4 linked regions of the Arabidopsis thaliana genome follow. The protein of the gene in region 3 interacts with the protein of the main gene of each other region in a pairwise test. Each region holds a gene or a part of one and is shown on either strand. Other genes may lie near its edges. The genes, in order: AT1G28060, AT2G22360, SR1 and CBL8.

Region 1 (6,336 bases), on a different chromosome or scaffold from region 3:
CAAGCTTGAAACCAAAACCCTTTGAGCATTTTGAGACAAAACAAAATAAAATTGAAAGATCAATTATAAGGAAACATGGAAGGAATCTGTTTCTTTTTGTGTGAGTTTTCTTTTACCTTAAGATCAAGACACTGTTCCAAATGAGAAGGAACAGAGAAGTGAGAACTGAGCTCCAAGAATCTATCTGAGATCGGGATATGTTCATCGCTCATACCAAATCCATCTCCCATACTACTTCTCCGATCAATAAGTGAACAATTCTGCATCGATCTCTCTAGATATTCTGTTATATCCGCCATCTCCTCTTATCACTATAATGATTCCAAAAGCAGAGGAGAAGAAGAAGAAGAAACAAAAGAGATAGATATTTGGAAGGAATGAAAACAAGAAAAACACGAAGGAAGACTCTTTAATCAAGGAAAAAAAAACAGAGTTTGAGGGTAGTTTGGGGATTTTCATGAGGTCACGCGCCCGTGTTGGTGGAGAATTGTTGGGTAAAGAGAAAGCTGGAGGAGGTGTAGCTGTCAGGTACATATTGAGCACTCAGGCTCGCATCTTGTCGCACGTTTCGTCCAACCATCTACACGCGCGGCTCATTCTTCTGACTGTACACATAATTATGTTATCGGTTAGTGGCCTCGATATTTTTAAAACATTATAGTTTTGTTTTAAGTCATAATCATACTTAACCAATGGTACTTTTTTGGCTGTGACTCAGATAATTCATGTTGTATCATCAACCTTAAACAGTTTACCTAGTAAAAAACAGATCATTTCTTGTTCAAAAACTAAAATACCAGACACCAGGGGAATATATGTTCATAGAAGTGCAATAACATGTCCAAATAGTTAACGCATTTCAAGGTGATGATGATGATATGAGGGAGAGAGGATTTAGTCGTCTGAGTAATTGACAGCGAGATCCCAGTAGTGAACAACACCAGCATCCATGAAAACTTTCTTGGCAGTGGATTCCGTCACGCATTCGTGTACATGAAACCTATGAAAACTCGGTTTCCCAATACTTCCTTGCCAAACCAACCAACACTTGTTTCCGCCATTCACTTCTTCTTCCTCGTCTTCATTCCCTTCCTTCCTCTCTGCCTCTTCCCAGTTTATTCGCTTCATCATCAGCTTCCCGTATCTCTTTATCGCTTTGCTCTTGCCCTCAACCACAACCACACTCATTTCATCCGTCATCACACTACACCCTGTTAATCTGTTCTCTCTTGCATTCATCTCCACTTTGAATCTTGTTTTAGGGTGCGATAACTTTTTGATCTTGTACACCGACACAATCGTCTCAACCGTTGTTGGATCATCGAAAAGCTTCCTCTCTTTCTTCTCACGTTTCTCTGCAGGAGTTAGCTTCCGGGCAGCATTCCTATCTGTATGAGCCTGTTCACGCTCAGCAGCTGCTGTGCGGATCTCTTTTTCAAGCTTTGTTGGGTCTTGGGTCGCTTCAGAACCAAGAACCTTCATTAAGTTGCTCATCTTCACCTTTGCTTTTGGTGGTTCCAGCAACCCTTGTCTGATCATCTCCTGTTTCTCCTTTTCTTTTGCTAGACGCCTCTGGGTTCGCAGTTTCTTCTGTTCCTTCTTTGTCAGTTTAAGAGGTTGGGGTGGTGGAGGAGCTGCCTCTGCAGGTGGCTCTATGGGACGAGGATGCTCAATGTAATGAGTAAGTTTTTCTATCTTCAGATGGCTTTCAGTAATGGTGCCATCAGTTATTTCGCCGTATTCGCCATTGGTGAGGACATTTGCATCCCTGAAACATAAAACAATTATGAACTAAGAAGACTCATCATGAACATATACCAAGAAAATAGACCAAAACGACAGAGCACAAAGCAGCTAGATTAACTATTTGGGCTGGCATTGAAAGGTACTAAGTAGATCATAATCATCAGTAGATTCATGTTACCATATTTTACTACCAATCACACCGTTGCTGATGACAAAACCATTGAACTTTCAGAAGTTGTATGTGGAAAACTAAAGCACATATGCGAACACTCAAAGAAATCAAAGAATTGAAATATTAATTGTATATATCCCACCTAAACGAAACTAGATAGTAATTCAAAAAACAAACAAACAACCCTAAACCAACATGAGCAACAAGAACACCAAACAAATTATATGAATGTCATCCGTAGCTGAGAGCAAACTAAAGTTATTGTTATGGTGATTCATCACAGTCATCAAATACTCCAATCGTTACAAGTTCAGTTTTTAAGTGCAGGATGACTTGTTTCCACCAAGGTTATGCCAAGTGAATGTCAAATCAGAAACAAAACAACTTAGCATTAACAGAAAGGGTAAGGTGAGAGAAATTACGTACCACCACTCAACATCTGGAATTGGCTCCTTGGGCTTCTCTTTTCTCGGGACACGTTCGGATACCTCTATCAAATTTGGATTTATATCATCGTTTGCCTTAGCCAGTTGTGCTTGCTTCACCTTCAGCTCCTTCGCTTTTGCTTCACCAAAATGACTCTATAAAGAAAAGACAGAAATACACACAATGAGACATCTAAAAGACCACCAAGAGAGAATATCGTCAAAAAGAATCCATACAAAAGACAATGCATACCTTAAACTTCAAATTTTCAGCATCTCTTGTCCATTTACCTTCCTCAACAAACTGGAAACTCATACGTTTAGGTCTCAGAATCTTTTTTTCATCAATACCCATCCTTGTGTCAAAATAGGGGTTTTCTTTTAGATCTGCTTCCAGTTGAGGTTTAAGAATCTGAAAAGCATCTTTCTTCTTTTTGTTTATGTTAACCTGTAAAATCCAAGTACTTTAGAAGCTCGATCATATAAAGAAAAACATGAAAACTTAAGATATTCAAATTAACATTGCTGACCTTCAATGTACTAAGATTGCTTGGTTTAGTCACACTAATCACATTTCCGTGTTCATCTATCTCCCTTCCTAGTGCATCCACGCGCAGAACAGGGGGCTTTTCCGGTCTCTGTGCAACAGTCATATCTGAGGGTGCCTGTCCTGGAAATAGGTTAATAACGGGAGCGAACTCTCGATCCTGATGAAATCCCATATTAGCTGCCAGCTCCTGGGCTCGCTTAACAGCTTCAATGTTGGCAATACTCCCAAAGCCAGCAAGGCCAGTATGTGGTAATGTTGAAGCAAAAGATGTGCCTGTAGAGACAGCAGGAGTGGTAGTCGATGGTGGCACTCTGGTATGTGGGCTACCTTCTGAAGTTGGCTTAGTAGCCTTCTTCAGCTGCACAGAGAATAAGAAAAGCAATTTATCAAATACAAAGTTTTCAGAGAAGAATGAACGCAAAAAAGTATAGAATATCTGTACATCTTACCAAAGGAAGGTTCTTCAATCTATCAGCCAATCCCTTTTGCAATTGTAGTGCTTTCCTAGCTTTCGCTGCTAACGCTGATGAATCAAGAGGCAAGTTTGCACTACTTTTCCCAGCTGTGGACAATGGTCTTCCATCTGTACTAGATTTTCCAGGAACCTCATGAGATCTGACAACACTAGCCTTATTTTCATCCGTTGTAGATATCGAAGATACCTTAGTGAGCAGTGTTTGACTAGGGGCAGCAGAAGCTTCCGATGGAATAGAACTATATGTAGAGGCTCCCTGCACAAAAAAAGAAAATGCAAGCATTAGCTAGCGAAGAAGACTAGAGGTAATCATGAACAAATCGCAAGTAGCAAACAAAGAAGATTAACGAAAAGGTATAAAGAACTCACCATCGTAACGCCACTGGTTGGATTCGTAGCCCCAGAACCCTCAGAGACTTGAGCATCTTTGTTCTCAACTTCAATAGCCACATCCTCAAACCTGCTCCTCCTCTCACCATTCCCATCAGCAAACCTAGATTTCTTCTTCCCATCCCTAGCCCCATTCTCTTCCTCTCTATCTTTCCTCTTGCTCCTCGATTCCTTCTCTTTACTACCTTCGTGAGACCTCTCATGGTGATGCTTTTCCCTATCTCTACTCCCTTCTCTCTCGCCTCGCTCTACAGATCTCCCTCTTCTATCCTTGGTCCTATCTCTCTCATCTTCCCTATCGCCGCGCCTCGATGAACGGTAGTGATCTGAATCACGACGCTTCGAATCAACATCGCGGTCACGGCGGCGTCCTCCTTCACGTTGTGGAGAATGGTCGGGACTCGAATCTCGATCACGATCGTCACGGTGGCTCCTGGAATATCTCTCCTTATCCATGGCAGAATTTAGGGTTTATTCCTAACAACAATTTGCTTCTGATTCGCCGGTCCTATAAATATACGAAAATTCACAACCGGAATAAACCAGCGATTCAGATTAGAACCAAAACGACCAGCGAAACCAAGTTCTGAATCAGATTTTTGTTCCTTCCGGAAAAATCCTAAAGGGAGCGAAACGATACCGGATCCGGAAGATATATAATCCAATCACCGGACTACAAGCTTCCCTTATGGGCTGAAGCCCATTTTTGAGTTCCTTCTTGAGATAGTTCTTCAATTTTGAGTCTAATGGGCTTTTATATCATCTTTTACTTAAAAAAAAAAAAATCGACGATTCATCTTCTATAGAGATATATGAAAATTCAAGCTATTTATCTTTAAAAAGAAAAATATTTGATGTCAGGTCGCAGTTTTCTTACAAGCAGAAATCCAAACTCTTCATACCAACTATTTTTGGAATAAACAAGATTTCTTTGCCAAGAGTTTTCATACCAACTATTTTTTGGATAAATAAGATTTCTTTGCCAAGAGATTTCCACAAGTTGACCACAAATTAAACATTCGATCAAAACTCAAGAATTCAAATATAGAAGTATATAACGCATATATTCCGCTTTGACTCAAAAAAGAAAAAACCCGCTCATATACTGTATTATGTATAGTCTGAATCACAAACTCTCTAACACGTGAAATTTAATGCGTTAGTCAAGAATCGTTCCGATTGTTACCACTCCCCAGGAACTTTTTCAAGATATTTATACCTCAGAATGATAGCACTTTACAAATAAGTTATACTTTTTTTCAAAACAAAAAAAAACAACTTATTGAAGTCTATGGACAAAAAGAAAATATCTAACATGAATCCTAAAATATCTTTACGATTTTAATTTTATCACATCTTTTGTCAAGAACTCGTGTGTAGCAGTTTATTATGCACATAAATATATGCTATACATTACGCTGCAATGTTCGTAAATACTAGTTCCAGAAAAAGACGATTCCAGCCGTTATTACACTGATCAAAAAGTTATTGCTATATACGGAAAGAATTAATCCCATAAAAATCATGTGCTTTGAACTAACTTTCCCTTTATACGTTAAAATAGATATTTAGGTGAAAAAGCAGATTAGATATTTTCTCTTAGATTCTCTGTCACAGTCAACGTAAGCTTCGCCGTCTGAACAATGGCGACTCTCTCAGCACGCTTTTACACCGTCAGATCTCAACATATCTCAATCTGAACAATCCATCATACACAAGTTCCATACATCGCAACACAGAAAAACAAATCCCTAACCCCAAACTGTTTACAATAATTAGCTTCGTTGTCTTCTTCATTCCAAAAGATTTGCAGATAATTTTGACAAAGCCCCCCAAAAAAAAAAAGAGTTCAAAATGAAAAACGTGAGAAATGGATTTGTCATCATTCTTCTCACCGTCCTTAGTCTCTGAAAATAAATTCTGATTTTGATTTCGAATTTTAGGGATTTTGAGAGAGAGTCAGTTATGAGTAGTTCGGAGAGAGTACCGTGCGATTTCTGCGGCGAGCGTACGGCGGTTTTGTTTTGTAGAGCCGATACGGCGAAGCTGTGTTTGCCTTGTGATCAGCAAGTTCACACGGCGAATCTGTTGTCGAGGAAGCACGTGCGATCTCAGATCTGCGATAATTGCGGTAACGAGCCAGTCTCTGTTCGGTGTTTCACCGATAATCTGATTTTGTGTCAGGAGTGTGATTGGGATGTTCACGGAAGTTGTTCAGTTTCCGATGCTCATGTTCGATCCGCCGTGGAAGGTTTTTCCGGTTGTCCATCGGCGTTGGAGCTTGCTGCTTTATGGGGACTTGATTTGGAGCAAGGGAGGAAAGATGAAGAGAATCAAGTTCCGATGATGGCGATGATGATGGATAATTTCGGGATGCAGTTGGATTCTTGGGTTTTGGGATCTAATGAATTGATTGTTCCCAGCGATACGACGTTTAAGAAGCGTGGATCTTGTGGATCTAGTTGTGGGAGGTATAAGCAGGTATTGTGTAAGCAGCTTGAGGAGTTGCTTAAGAGTGGTGTTGTCGGTGGTGATGGCGATGATGGTGATCGTGACCGTGATTGTGACCGTGAGGGTG
Region 2 (5,358 bases), on a different chromosome or scaffold from region 3:
CTGTTTCATCTTTCTGTGAATTTCTTGCTCCGTAAGTTCATCTGATATATTTTACAGCACCTGTGATAGTGTCTTTGATATAAGCTTCATCAGTGATATGATTCCTTGTGTTTTCAGGCTTGTTCACTTGTCGAAACCGTCTATCTCCACGGGGGTTGTGCCAACCGCTGCTGCGGCGGCTGCATCTCTTATGTCGGATGGAGGAGGTACTACATTGTAAGAAGTTTGAAGTTAAAAACAACTGTTCTTGTGTTCTCTCTTGTTAGATCTTTTGGTCCAATCTAGTCAATTTTCCAGATTACACAATGGTTGTGAAATCTTGTGAACCATTAGAGTTAAGTATTATTTAATGAGAATCAGTAAGGGATCTTTAATAAATATTCTTTATAAATCACAACTTGCATATGATCTTTGCTCTTCTCTCAACCTTTTGGTATTATGATGTTTCATTGTTGTCACTTGTCAGTAGATTGATAGTTTATGAAGCTTCGAACATGATTAAAATAATGTGAATGTCTTTGTGGAATTACATACTATTTTATTTATCATTCAATCACTAATAAATTCCAATTTGAAAGCCTATTAAAACCTAACATATTAAAAATTTGAACCACAAAAAAATGAATTCTAAAATTCTTCCATTTCCACAACAATAATCATCTTCCTCCACTTGCTTCTTCTTTTTTCAAGAGCCATTCTAAATATCACAAGCCAGAGTAGAAAAATGTATATGTATAGAGAGATTCATAATTTCAATGTCAAAATTTTCGTGTTTCTAATCATCTACTGGTGCTATTAGCAGTCTTGTTCTTGCTCATATCAGCAAGCTCTTCAATAAGTTTTTTCTCCTCTTTGCTCAATCTCTTAGGTATCTCCACTTGTACTCTCACCAACTGATCTCCTCTCATATTACTCTTGTTCAATACCGGAACTCCTTTTTTCGCCATCACAAGCGTCGTGCTAGGTTGTGTCCCAGCTGGAACTTTCAAATCTACTGTCCCATCCACTGTTGGTACTTTCAGTGTCGTCCCTAAAATCGCATCGATATACGATATCTTGCAAGTGTAGAGAATATTTGTATCGTCTCGTTTCAAAATCGGGTCTGGGATAACTTCTATAACAACAAACAGATCGCCTGGTGATCCGCCTCTCTTCCCGGCATTGCCTTCTCCTCTCACTCTCAACCGGCTACCTGAATCAACCCCGGCTGGTACTTTGAGACTTATCCGTTTTGTCTTCCTCACGCGTCCGTCTCCAGAGCAAGTACCACACGGCGTCGAGATCTCTCCAGTGCCATTACAGGACGAGCAAGTCATGACTTGTTGGAACACGCCCAGAGGAGTTCTAGCTGCTGAAACCACTTGGCCTTGTCCGCCACACGTGGTGCATTTGGTCGGTTTGGTTCCAGGTTTTGCACCTGAACCTTCACATGTCCCACAGCTCTCGAGCCGGGATATCTCTATTTCTTTCTCCATTCCGAAAACCGCTTCTTTGAAGTTTAAGATTAGCGTGTAATACTCGTCTTGACCATCCACAGCTCTGCTTCTTGAACCTCTACCCATCCCACCACCGAAGCCTTCGAATAATGAGTCGAATAGATCGAACGGATTACTAAAATCCTAATGAAATTTAATAACAAAAAACCAAACCAAGAAGTGATCAGAGAGTTAACTTCGAGTGTCTATAAAGAATAAATCTGTGCATCTGTGTTTTGAACAACGTACCCCATTGCCAAATCCAGCAGCGCCTTTAAGTCCGGCCTCACCATACCTATCGTAAAGAGATTTCTTTTCATCATCTGATAAAACCTGCAATTTTGTTCTTTAGTCACTAAAAGTACGAACTTGCATAGTAGAAACAAAGGAGAAACTGGGTTTCATTTCACCTCATATGCGTTACTTATTTCTTTGAATTTCTCTTCTGCGCCAGGATCCCTGTAAGCACATAATAAACATGTAAACAAGACGGTAACACTTTTCTAACTTAGAAGTGTCAGTCTTGAAAGGAAAAAAGCGGTTTCTGAGCATTTCATATTTCCCGGTCTGTATTTTGCTAAGGGCTATGAGTTCTTAAAATAACTGGTTTCCCTAATTTGGGGAACAACATAATCCAAGGTTTGCAGTCATCTTGTTTTTGGCATATCTAACATTTGGCTAACAGATATTAAGCTTCTTATCTCTACTTGACTGTCGATCCTATCTTCTTATTCTCAAGATATACATCCACTATCGTCATCAAGTGAAGTTTTTCACTTACTTGTTCACATCCGGATGGTAATTCCTAGCCAGCTTCCGATAAGCTGAAACAAGAGCAAGGAAGAGCGAATCAATGTCATACCAAAAAGTACCAAGTCAAGAAAAAAAAAGAAACGCCAAGCAAAGAATTCACATCACGGGTTTGATCATGCATTTTAACATATGCAAACCATCTATATATACAAGGGAATCTCTCACACACAGAAAAACAGAAACATACCGCTTTTAATCTCAGCTTTGGTTGCATTTTTCGAAACTCCGAGTACCGAATAGTAATCCTAGAATTGCACACAATCACACAAAAAGCAATCAAGATCATAATAAATAGTGAAGCTGAGATATACGCATTCAGCAAAGGGAAGAAAATAGGAACACGTACTGCATCAGCTCTAACAGTGAAGCGAGATCCTCTGCGAGGAGGATGCATATTTCTGGACATTCCCGTCATGGACAAGAAGGGCAATGACCCATGTGAGAACATACTCGACTTTGAAGCTCCCAAACAATTTACTTGGCTACTGGAACTGTAAAAGTTGTGAAAAGGAAAACCTTTAATGCTATTTCATATATAAAACTCTCAGTGTAGAAATCACATAATACAAACTTCATTCTACGAAGACTAATCTTAAGATGTGCAATGTGAACAAATCAAAATACTTGAAAGGCTTAAAGCCACAGAACTGAATGCAATCCAGAGACTTAAAAATCATACTTTTGATGGCGAGTTGATTCGATTCTGCTGGGATAATAAGCTCTGACTGCAAATTGAGGACGAATACTCCATTGAGCAACACATGTACTTCCAAGTTGTATTATAGCCATATTTAGCTCAATACACTCCCTGCAACACAATATAAGTAGCTCTAAGCCTCAAAGTCTGGCTTTTTAACTTTAAAAATGCAGAAAGCAATCATGAGTCAAAACCCTAAACCCCCAATCCTTACACAAAGATTCAAACTTAAGAAATACACAACATCAATTTCAATTGAACACACATACTTCAATCAAAGTACAATAAGAATATCAATTTTACAGAAACCAAAAAGGCAAAACATTTCTATCAAAATCCGAGCTGGGCGGGAAATTTTCTGGGCGGATTCCAAAAGCCGTAATTTCTCCCTCTCCGGGAACGAAACAATCAGGACAAGCATAAGAAACTGTGTAAAACCTTGAATTGATTTGATGGTTTCAATCGTAGAAAAAAACTAACAGAGGCAGAGAAGACAGAGATTTATTTATCTATAGTTATGAAATTGAGTAGGAGAAGGTGAATCTTACCGTAATCAATGGTGGACGACGGAAGAGCTCCGAGAGAGATAAGAAAAGCGATGAGAGTAGAGAGAAAACGTATGAAAGGAGTTCGCTAGAAGAGCCTACCTCTTGTTTCTTATTTTTAAATTTTTTCTTTTTTCCTATAAATTTTATTAATGAAATAAAATCAAGCAAAATAAATAATAGGTGGCCGGGATAAAAAAATAAAGGGTCTGAGTGGTAAAAGAGCTGTTAGCTGTTAATCGGAGAGCTAAAGCTTGTTTAACAAGTCAGGAAACCCTAGTGAAAGGGAAAAATAAAATAAAATTAGTCGACCAAAGAGCCCTAAAAATGATAAAGAGGCGGCTTAGACCACGACGAATAAGAGTCGTCACTCAAGCATCACTATGGTCCAGTCCCTGTGAAATCGATAAAGGTGCTTCACATTGGTACTAATTAACAATGACCACAACACCAATAACCAAAGCCTCAAGTGCTCCAACACTAGACGCATCACCATACCTTTTACATCCAGATGATCAAAATCACACCAAATCAAGTATCTTTAGCTACATGCCTACATATACTCTGTATCTAAAAAGAAGAAAAATTTGCAAATATCTGCATTGTTTTTTTTTTGGTAGAATGAGGGAGACTGCGTCTCCCGTTTTATTAAAAGAAAATAAAAAAATTACACTTGGACATGTCTCGGGTACGAAACCCCCGCTACATCATCTAACAAAATAGAACTAACAACATCGGGTCTAGACTCCAACAAATGCAAACCTAGGGATAACGAGAAAGCATAGTTCGCTAATCCATCAGCAAGACGATTAGCTTCCCTATACACATGAGAGATTCGGACTATCCAGCCCTTCGATAAAAAGTCATAGCACAAGCGTAATAGGAATGACAAGGGATGAGAATCCGCAATCCCTGTCGTGAGAAACCCAACCACCATCTTCGAGTCTACTTCTAATTCAACCCGCCGAGCTCCCCTCCCCCAAGCGATGAATAACCCATAGTAGACACCCCACAACTCAGCCAAGGGTGCGGAACAAACACCTATATTAACCGCAAAACCTCCAATCCACGCTCCATTATGATCCCGTAAAACCCCACCCGCCGTTGCAAACCCCGGATTACCCCGCGAAGCCCCATCCGTGTTCAACTTTACCCAACCATCTTCCGGCGATACCCAAGACACCAACCGCTCAACTCTACTCACCCGCACCTCATTCCCCTTCACAAAAGCATTCGCTATCGCCACTTCCTCCGCCAAATCCTTAATAAACTTAACACGGTCCCTACACTTACCATTCCCGCCAAAGATGTTGCCACACCTCCATTTCCATCCCCACCATACTGCCATTACAAACACCGTCGGCCATGATCCACGTTCCCGTAAGTTCTTGTAGATCCACTCCAGCAAAGAAGCAGTGAAGAATTGTCGTATTTGATCACGAGGGACTAACCGGCTCCATATCCCTGCCATTGCGGGACAGTCGCGGAGAACATGTAGAATCGTCTCCTCCCCGCCTTGACAAATCTGACACACCCTCGTATCACTCAAGTGTCTTCGATATCTTTCCACATTAGTTATGATCACTTGCTGCACCACTAACCAGAGAAAAACACGGACTCGTTCCGGTGCCATTACTCGCCAAATCCTCTGATAAAACAGTCCCATGAATTGTTTGGTTCAATATAAATTTTACTCTTTTTTATACCTTCTTATCTCTAGGATATCGATAATGCTAAGCTTTTGTGAAATTATTAAGACTTCTGAAGCTTATCAAAGATAAGATTAGCTTTATTTCATCGAAGAACATACAAGATATCAAATCACCAT
Region 3 (4,708 bases):
TATATAGTAAATTGGATAATATATAGATCGTGGAGCCTACAATTATTGCATTGAAAAGGTGATATATATGTTGATTACAGTAATTATAACTGCTGAAGCTGAAATTAATGGATTATGGATGATTGGATTCAATGTGGATACCAAGAAAAGAAAATGATTGATGAGAATTATTGGTGTATGATCTTATATCACAGCCACATGCGATAGGATTATATAAAGTCCACTAGCTATATATCTATTTTAATAGTATATTTTTACAATGATGTGATAAGGACAACCTCTTACTTATCAAAAAGGTGAAAGTAGATCAGTTGTGTTAGTTCATGGCTCAAATCTTGACACTTCTTTTTACATAATGACAAAATTAATAGCAGAAGAAGACTGTGTTTTATGAGTTGTTAAAAATTACATCTATATGTATGTTAAATATCATGTTGAATAGTTAACTAATCCTTAAGTAATGGTTAAGTTAGAGTGTCTTGTACACATAGCATTACTTCACATCCACGATACGTTACTAATGTATTATAGTGGCCATTTAAAACAAGTAATACATTTTTTTATATTTTATTTTTCATTTATATAAAATATAATTATGATTACATAACAAGAAGATACATACTTGCCAACTAAAAATTAAGATTTGTCGAGAAATTTCCTGAATAATTATGTCAGAGATATTCTCCGGGTAAAAAAAAAAGCAATTACATATAACCCGGGATATTTTTTTTTAATTATTATTTGGATAATTTATTTGACAGATACCTAAACTACGACGTCGTATGTACTTGAGTTGGTTCTGGGTCCGTTTGGTCTGATTCGTGCACAAGCTCGACGAAGAAAGGCCTGAGTGTATCTGTCCATAAATCTCGTCCAGATGCAGCGGCTCTTTGTCTCTTCCTCACCTCTATCATAACCAGCTCGTCCGTTAGCTGGTTTATCTCAACCACCATTGCGAAGTTACCTTTTTGCCCCTCGATCTTCATCCCCCATGTTTCCTTCTTCGCCACCGTCAGATTCTCCGCCGACACGATCTCCTCCAGCCTCTCCACCACCCTCTCCGCCGTCCACGCCGACACGAACCGTTCCACTCGGTCGTACTTTCTGGCGTCTCCGAAAAGACCGGAGAGATTGAACCCTGGAGATCCTGAGATGATGTCGAATGCGTTCATCCTCCTTGCTCCCATCTCGCTGTCGGTCTCGTCCGCCGGGAGTTTCATATCGGAGTCCTCTAGATGGAATTTAGACATCCGATCGTCGTAGCCCTGTTTGAACCATGGATCGTGGATGATCTCTTCGATAGTGATCCTCGTCTGCGGATTCGTGTCTAAAAGCCGAGTCAGCAGTCGCCGGAGATCCGGTGAGGTCCACTTGGGAATGCGAAATTCTCCCTTGTAGATTTTCCGGTACATAACCATGAGATTATGGTCGTTGAAAGGGAGATAACCGGCGTTGAGGACGAACAGTATGATTCCACATGACCATATGTCGATTTTAGCACCGTCGTACCCTTTCTTCGCCAAAACCTCAGGCGCCACGTACGCCGGCGTACCACAGAGTGTGTGGAGGAGGCCGTCGGGTCGGATCTGATCGGTAAGAGCGCTGAGTCCGAAATCAGAGATCTTCAAATCGAGCTTCTCGTCGAGGAGGAGATTCTCCGGTTTGAGATCACGGTGAAAGATGCCGCGGGAGTGGCAATATCCGACGGCGGAGATGAGCTGCTGGAAATAACGACGGCTAAGATCCTCGCAGAACCTGCCCTTGGAGACTTTGGCGAATAGCTCACCGCCCTTGGCGAATTCCATGACGAAGAAGATCTTGGATTTGGTGGCGAGGACCTCGAACAGGCGCACGATAGAAGGGTGGCGCAGACGGTGCATGATAGCGATCTCTCTCTGAATGTTGCCATTGAGTCCTCCTTTCTGCAGCCGTTGCTTGCTCACCACTTTGATCGCAACGCTCTGACCCGTCGCTGTGCTCCTCCCGTGGTACACTTTCGCGAAGGCGCCGCATCCCACCAATTTTCCGACCTCGTATTTGCCGAAGAGCTGTCCACGGCGGTTCTCCGGCGGAAATTCCACCGGGTCAGAATCTACCATTAAAAACAGAATCTGCTAGGTCAATTATGGTACACAGAAACTGAGGTCATTGCGAATGAATCAACGCCGTAGAAAAAAAAGAAAAGAAGTCTGAGAGAGAGAGTGTTGTTATTAATAGAAGAAGCGAAAGGAAAATTAGTAGTTTGAAAAGTAAAAAGATATGAACAAAAGTAACAGATATTTAGAGAGATCTGTTAGCAGAGAAAACAAAAGAGAGACAGACAAATTGGGAGGATTCGGATAAGAGATAAGCCATGCTCTGTATCGAGTTGTTACATATATATTACTGTCTTGAGGTAGGAGATGAGGGTATTTTTGTCAATTACTATCAGATTCTTTTTCCTTATTTTCTTCTTCTTTATTTTCTTTGTAAAGACGTGGGAGATTTTCTGTTTTGTTTTCTTAATATATCTATTAAAAAAAGAAGAAGAAGAAGATGAAGATGTGGACAAGAAGTTGAATTAGAACCATACAGGTGTCCCGTCGCTGTTGTCGTGTTGATTTGGTATCTCCGAGGGTTTAGGCTGTAGAATATACTCATTTCACACATATACGCTTCGTCGTATCTTCGGCTATTTGCTATAATATTATTATTACAAGAACATATAAACATGTTTCCTCCAATATTGTTGAATATTATTATTTTATGGTCAACTCAAAACGGAGAATTGTTCTTTCGACTAGCCTAGGCAGCTAGCTCTAGTTAGTTAGTAATTCAGCTAACCACTGCTTTGTTTAGTCATCAATCGTGGTTAAGTCCTTTGAACATCCAAATTCCCCTTATTAGTATTAGTTCAAGTCTCATTTTGAGCACCAGGCTATATATTGCGGTTGACAGGTTACTACAACTCCCGCCCCACTGCTCAAGGTTGGAATCGTCCTATAACTAGTGTCATTTCCTAATCTTCCTTAATCTTTTCAAATCACTATCTAAACTCTACGTTCATTTTTAATTATGATTCTTATGTTTATTTTTCCACTCCATCACTGTTCCAAATAACTTGAATTATTTATCAAATTTAAACAATACTTGGGAAAATATATTTCATGCTTTTTGTATACATTTCACAGTTGTTTATTTCACTATTTTTAGAAAATATATTTGCTTATGTTGGAATCATTAGTTAATACATTTGGAAAACATATGTCATTCCTTTTTAAAAATCTCCAGTTGTTTTTTCCCATATTCGTGGAAAAATAAATCGAGTCTTATGGGCAAATTGATCTATTTGATGCTTTTTGAAAAAAAGAAATATGACTACATTTAAGATTTCAATTGATTATTTTCAATATATGTTTCACATTATAAAGTACAAACAGTGCGCTTGAAAAAATAACTTTTGCCCAAAATAAAAAAGAAAAACAAATTTGATTAATATTTAACATTATCTCATTGTTTTTTTTTAATAGTTACTATTTTCTTACTTAGCTAAGTTGGAAAGTCAGTATAATTTTATAAAGATGTATTAGTTCCATGTATGATCACTACCCACAATCACACTAATTATGTCCCAATTCCTCAGACTTAAACATTTGACGACTTAGAAATCATCGCATTGCATTGTTAGAGTGCAAGGCTTTTATAATCTTGTGAAGTTTTGGTTAAAGTTTAATACCAAAAAAAAGAGGATAAATTTTGCAGTGTCAATTTTTATAGTAAATCTACGACGTGATCTACCCACCGCAGCGTACAACAAAATATAAAATCAATTTTAATTATTTTTGTAATTTATCCAAAACACACAACGTTTTAAAGATTAGATAAATCGTACGTTACTATTTTCGCTGTCACGCTGTGCCCATTTGTACATATATATAAATCCAAGCCACACATAAATTAGTACTATTTTTTTTTGGTAGGCATAAATTAGTACTACAGTATTCACATAAAACCAAATCAACATCTTTTTTAATATATATAAATCCATTAAAAGACATGTACGGGAATAAAATAAAAATAAATTACCGCGTTAATAATGTGATGTACGAAAGATTTCATTTGTTTTTAATTTTGATTTTTTCTGATGCTGTTTCATGGAAGCTTCTTTCGTTGGGGAAAAAGAGAAGGAGGAAGGAAAGAAGCTCGTTAAATAATTACGAAATCAAGGTTCTGTCAATAAAAATGGATGGTTATATAATTGCCCCTTTTCTTTCGTTGGTTCGAAAGGTTGCTCCAATCAAAATATCTACTGATTTTGAATACATTATTAATTGTTGACAAACAAAATAAAAGAATACATTATTAATTTAGCTTGTTACTTTTGGTCCCATGCAAGATTAATGTGACCATATAACCCATTTTTACGACAAAATTTAACGATATAATATATATGACCATAAATAACTTCTGAAGTAATTAACAAAAGAAAACATAAATAAAATGAATTAAAAAAATGGAATATACGAGGTCCATGTTAATATGTTATAAACACGTTTACAAAAAAAAAAAAAAAACGTAATGCAAGAATAAATGAAGGCTGCAGGAAGAAAAATAAAGGGCTTTCGTGCAGAAGAAAGAAACGTACGATAACATAACTGATATCTCCCGTAAGCATTGTCTTACGTTTATTAATGGTCTGGCGACTATATAATTTCCATTAATTCAACAT
Region 4 (4,914 bases), on a different chromosome or scaffold from region 3:
GGAATAGTAATTTGTTAAAATCTTCTCTAATTTTTCTTACCTTCAAAACAGTGAAATTTTAATTTAAAATAACGTTAATATTCAAGGTTAAGAAGTAATTGGTTCTTAACTATTAGAGATGATCTTACATTATTACTATATTTTATACGAAATCAACCAAGTATCATCTAAGCTTTAATAAGAGTAGTTGATAACATCTGGTATGGCCGGTGGTTTTCATCTGACAATAAAATAATATGACCTGACGTATTTATATACATTTCAATATTTGTAAGAAGATAAGTTAATGTTGTCACGATTATTGTTGGTACATGAATACAACAACATCAAAAGATAACTATTTAAAATTCAAAACCAATTGGCCGCACATATATCGACAGTTCGACACACGTGTGGACCCGACGTTGCTACTGCAGTGGCTCCTCCTATAGCCGTTGCTCACCAGTGACCGTTAAGAGTTCACTTTTCTTTATATTTTGAGATTATTGTCCACAACGCCATTTTTCTAAAAAGCCATTTAAATGATAAAACCTTAAAGAAAATTGTTATTTCATTGTAAAAAAATTCCCTTAGAAATAGATTATCAACAAGTAACTAAACGACCGAGAGACATAATCGAAACAAAAAGAATTGCAAATTGTTTCAGCCTTGTACCATATAATGTCGAATGAATTCCGAATTATACATAAAAAGGATTAAAAGACCTCAAACGTATAATTCGAAAAAGCCTCTAGCTTCTTCTAAAGATTTCCTCTAGTCTTCAACTTCAGAGTCGAGTACAAAGCTTGGAAATGCTAAAGTCACTTCCCTATAAATCATAGAAACGACGACGTACTTACTTTATATGTCAATAAAAACAAGAAAGAGAAATATTTTTGAAATAAAAGTCTACTTGAGGTAAGGCAGAGTCATGTTCTTGAGGATTGAAGGATTCTTAGCAACGAGCTCTTTCCACTCTTCTTCATCAATCTTCCCATCTTTGTTTGTATCAACCTCGAGCATCGTCTGTTTGTAAAAATCGATTCACAAATTCAACATCATTAAGATATTAAATATATATCTTTAACAAAAAAAAGATATTAAATATATAGGAATATTAATGTCATAATAAGAAAGATAAATAGATTAAAATTAGGTATAATGTTGCGTGACCTGTTCCACGATAGCTTCAATAGATTCTTCCGAGAGTTCTAAGTCTGTTTCACCAAGTAGTGCGCCAACCATCTTCTTCAGCTAATTTCCAACCAAAACATTTTACACATCAAAATGTTTGTGTATGCATCTCCAAACATCCAAAGACATATATGATAATATATATATGCACATATTTTGATATGGAAAGAATAATTTTGTGGTTTTGGAAGGTTGCAATCTATGTTCTACAACTTTGCAATCTGAACCAAAAAATGAAAATTTGAAGGTAAGATTTTTCAATTACTATTTACTTGTTCGTATAAAGATTTCACCGTTTTATTCAAAATTCTTTTTTAATTTCTCCATTTTTTTAATAGTAGAATTGATGAGATCTATAGCATTTTATCAGTACCTCATGGGGCTCGATGAAGCCGGTTCCATGGAGGTCAAAAAGCTTGAACATAACTACAACATTACAAGCGATTTACTTCATCTATTAGACACGTAAATAAACACGTATATTTTCATGATCCTAAAGTGTAAATAACGTACATGCAGATTTTTCATGTTCGGGAGTGTATGGATGGAATATGCTAAGGGAACGAACAAATTCTCCAAACTCAATCACACCGTTGCGTTTCCTATCAAACATATAAAACACCTGCATGCACCACTTTTTCCGAATTATTTAGCTAAACACCTTTTTTATTTTTCTTGACGTCAATAATATTCATTGAAATATGTAATTAAACAAAAAATATGTTTATATATAATTAATTATGCAAGTATAGAACAGATATACGAACCCTGTCCGCAAATAGATTTTGCATACTGCCGTTTCTGAACAAAGCCAGAAGAAACTCTTCCTGCTCATAAAATATTAGGTCATGCATGTAGATGCAAATCAAATCCCAAAAAAAATGTGATTTTTAGATTTAATATACAATTTTTTTTTTGTATAAATGAAAAACCATTTAAGAAATAAATGTTACCTTATGGATTAGACCATCATTGATAATAGATGTACTTAGCTTCTTGAATAAATCGTGTAAAGCCTCAATCTCATTCACGGTGACTGCATACATCAATTATACATAAACTCTATAAATAGCTTCATAAAATGCATCTATATACAGCTCATATTCGTTTATAGATGATCGTTTATTAACTCTTCTTTATCTTTCGTAATTAATTATGTTATTCAATTTTTACATAGAGATGTTGCGGTTTTTGTTTGTTTGGTTTGACTTACAGGGAGTTTCGGATGCAAGAACATGAGGATCCTCATATCCACGAGGATGCTTTGCTCGCTTCAACGAGAAGCATTTCACGAATGCCAACATTCAACAACTTTGGTAAATATAGAATAATTTTTTGTGCTGCTAAAATAACCAATAAAAAAAAAAAAGTTTCAGGCTCCTGATCTTGATTCAATGATCCGTTGGAATTCGCAATGGTAGATAAGAGGAAATGATAGTTACGGTGGACTAACAAATAATTAAAAGATTTATATGAATCTGGTTTAGATCTTTATGATCCGATCATCTTATGTTAAAAATGACGACAAGGAACGAATCAAGAACATGCATATGATGAGATCATAACAATTAATTAAGAAGAAGACTTGAAATTAATTAAGATCGATACATGGATGGGCAAACCTAGTAACAATTTAGAGGTTCTCATAAATTCCTCATAAAACCTATATGATCATCATATAGTAATCCCCAAGAAAGAGGCCAAGATCTTAATTAAGAACAATAGGCTCAATTAATTACAAAATTAAAATCTTATTTGGCAGGAAAATAAAACCCAAATAATCAAGAAAGATTCGATTCAAATGATAAAAGTCTAAAAGTGAAAATACCTGGATGATCGATCTTGTGTTACAAATTGGTTGTATTTAGAGGGTTGTTGTTCTTCCAATATTTCTAGAGAAGACTTTAGATATACGGAAATGCCTTATGTGATATCGACGGAAAACAAAAAGCTTACTGTATACTTCATTAAAAATTCAGCAATCATTAAAAATAAAATAAATTAAAGAATAAGTTGTGACTGTACGATCTTTTTATTTGACAATTTTTTTTTTTTCGGTTTCAATTTCATAAACAGATAATTTGATAGGTGTTCAGAAAAAAAGAGAAAATTTGATTTTATTCTTCTTAATTCGTTTTTATAATAATAATAAAAATTAAAACAAGAAAAAATAACACGTAAAAAGAGTATTGTTAGTTGTTATTCACGCGCTTTGTTCTTATTAAAATAAAAAACCGTTGGATTATTCTTCTTTTTCTTTACTTTCTTTCCTAATTTTCTAGGGATTCATTAGAAAAATTCTTTTAGGTTTTACAATCTTTGAAAGAGAGAAGATAGTGCGTGCGCGCGCGCGACGCCATGGATGGGAAGAGTAATAATCATCATGATCTTTTTGCGAATGAGAACGAAGAGAAAGAGGTATTCTTGAGTCTTGAACCCTAATTTTGTTGGAAAGAATGATGTGCGATGTGGTGCGATACTTTCTCTCTCAAGTAAGACCATTGATCGAGGGAGATTTTCGCAAATCCCAGCGTCACCTTCACTTGGTGAAAGGGGAAAAATCGAAGATCCTCGTAAAATTGATGCTCAGAAATTAGATTCTCCACAAGCAAATTGGTGTAGTCATTGTAGAAAAAACGTTATCATGACCGAAGGCGAAAACACATATGATAAACCATTTAGTTCTGATTGTTCTGATTTAAACTCAAACATAGTTCTGATTGTTTATCGTGAAACGAAAAAACATAGGATAAAACAATGGTCAAAATAGTGCCGACTATTCATACTAACATGGTTCATTTCTTGTATTGTGGGGACTCCTTATGTCAAAACAATGTTACGAGGTTCTTCTTGATGACACTATTGAATCCAAGAATTATGAAAAGCTTCTTGATCTTTCAATATCACGTGCTCAGAGACAAATATTGTAAGATATGATTAGATGCGGATAACTATTATCATAGACAAGTGGAAAGATTATGATTCACATGTATATATTATAGATCATGAATTTGATCATCAAGATATAGATTTTTCAAAAGTAATTTGGTGTGTTTTAGAAAGAATGATCACATAAAGCGCACTTATAATGGTCCAACAACTTGATATGCTAACTGATAAGGATAATGGGTGAATGAATTGGTAAATACGATCTGCCAAAACAACAACAACAAAAACCAAAAATGTCAAAAACAGAAAGACTTACTTTATTATATATGTAACCTGAGTGAGTTGATGAAAAATTCTGATCCTAGAACGTAAGGAGAGTATACAGGTAGTTTCTGTATCTCGCTATGGCATGATTCACCCAAAATAGGCTGAAACAGGTCGCTAACAATTCATCCCTTATCACTTGAGGTGATGCTTCACCAGCTTCTTGTTCAAAGAGAGACTTCCACAGGTTAGAAATGTTAAAGACTCGATGGTCTCCCTCACAAAACCATTAATTAGCCTTTGTAACATCCTCTGCAGACCTCAGTTTATCCTCTAGCTTCATCAGCACTTGCTTGTACTTTGCAATAAGCCAACGATAATAGTCGATCATCAAAATAAGAGCTATCATTTCTTCTGAGAACTAAAACATGATATCTATTAAGACAAACTGTCGGCCCATTTGTCGGCCCATTCACAACAGAGATTTTGAATTTTCTCTTTGAAACCCTCAAGTGTGTTTTTCTTAGGCTTGGTCGATCTTTAGCCGTCTTCAACATCAAAATCAATGGAGGAAGAAGAAGCGAGACA

Evidence for each region.
Region 1: the proteins of SR1 (region 3) and AT1G28060 interact in a two-hybrid assay, tested with the Arabidopsis thaliana proteins (one study listed by BioGRID).
Region 2: the proteins of SR1 (region 3) and AT2G22360 interact in a two-hybrid assay, tested with the Arabidopsis thaliana proteins (one study listed by BioGRID).
Region 4: the proteins of SR1 (region 3) and CBL8 interact in a two-hybrid assay, tested with the Arabidopsis thaliana proteins (one study listed by BioGRID).

Annotation. Positions count from the first base shown.
Region 1 is NC_003070.9:9,777,045-9,783,380, reverse strand, and holds AT1G28060 (Pre-mRNA-splicing factor 3), read right to left. Parts: upstream 4,531-6,336; 5' UTR 4,399-4,530; intron 4,379-4,398; exon of another isoform or gene 4,267-4,378; 5' UTR 4,215-4,266; coding exon 3,738-4,214; intron 3,625-3,737; coding exon 3,343-3,624; intron 3,252-3,342; coding exon 2,874-3,251; intron 2,792-2,873; coding exon 2,597-2,791; intron 2,500-2,596; coding exon 2,345-2,499; intron 1,769-2,344; coding exon 895-1,768; 3' UTR 515-894; downstream 1-514. Other genes in the region: AT1G28070 (ATP-dependent RNA helicase), read right to left, coding at 117-299; BBX13 (B-box type zinc finger protein with CCT domain-containing protein), read left to right, coding at 5,724-6,336. UniProt on the Arabidopsis thaliana protein: Functions in the RNA-directed DNA methylation (RdDM) pathway. Acts as a pre-mRNA splicing factor, likely by affecting Pol V transcripts. Affects DNA methylation of transposable elements (TEs) and preferentially influences NRPD1- and ROS1-targeted loci.
Region 2 is NC_003071.7:9,495,881-9,501,238, reverse strand, and holds AT2G22360 (DNAJ heat shock family protein), read right to left. Parts: upstream 3,670-5,358; 5' UTR 3,534-3,669; intron 3,097-3,533; 5' UTR 3,078-3,096; coding exon 2,968-3,077; intron 2,780-2,967; coding exon 2,635-2,779; intron 2,534-2,634; coding exon 2,476-2,533; intron 2,300-2,475; coding exon 2,257-2,299; intron 1,935-2,256; coding exon 1,886-1,934; intron 1,809-1,885; coding exon 1,725-1,808; intron 1,620-1,724; coding exon 780-1,619; 3' UTR 520-779; downstream 1-519. Other genes in the region: AT2G22370 (mediator of RNA polymerase II transcription subunit), read left to right, coding at 1-31, 118-220. UniProt on the Arabidopsis thaliana protein: May function together with HSC70 chaperone to assist protein folding and prevent protein aggregation during heat stress in the chloroplast.
Region 3 is NC_003076.8:312,653-317,360, forward strand, and holds SR1 (serine/threonine protein kinase 1), read right to left. Parts: upstream 2,754-4,708; 5' UTR 2,100-2,753; coding exon 771-2,099; 3' UTR 538-770; downstream 1-537. UniProt on the Arabidopsis thaliana protein: CIPK serine-threonine protein kinases interact with CBL proteins. Binding of a CBL protein to the regulatory NAF domain of CIPK protein lead to the activation of the kinase in a calcium-dependent manner.
Region 4 is NC_003070.9:23,947,275-23,952,188, forward strand, and holds CBL8 (calcineurin B-like protein 8), read right to left. Parts: upstream 3,088-4,914; 5' UTR 3,002-3,087; intron 2,517-3,001; 5' UTR 2,478-2,516; coding exon 2,387-2,477; intron 2,210-2,386; coding exon 2,127-2,209; intron 2,001-2,126; coding exon 1,941-2,000; intron 1,796-1,940; coding exon 1,687-1,795; intron 1,600-1,686; coding exon 1,547-1,599; intron 1,234-1,546; coding exon 1,153-1,233; intron 1,006-1,152; coding exon 893-1,005; coding exon of another isoform or gene 889-892; exon of another isoform or gene 843-888; intron 809-842; coding exon 754-808; 3' UTR 520-753; downstream 1-519. Other genes in the region: AT1G64490 (DEK, chromatin associated protein), read left to right, coding at 4,892-4,914. UniProt on the Arabidopsis thaliana protein: Acts as a calcium sensor. CBL proteins interact with CIPK serine-threonine protein kinases. Binding of a CBL protein to the regulatory NAF domain of a CIPK protein lead to the activation of the kinase in a calcium-dependent manner.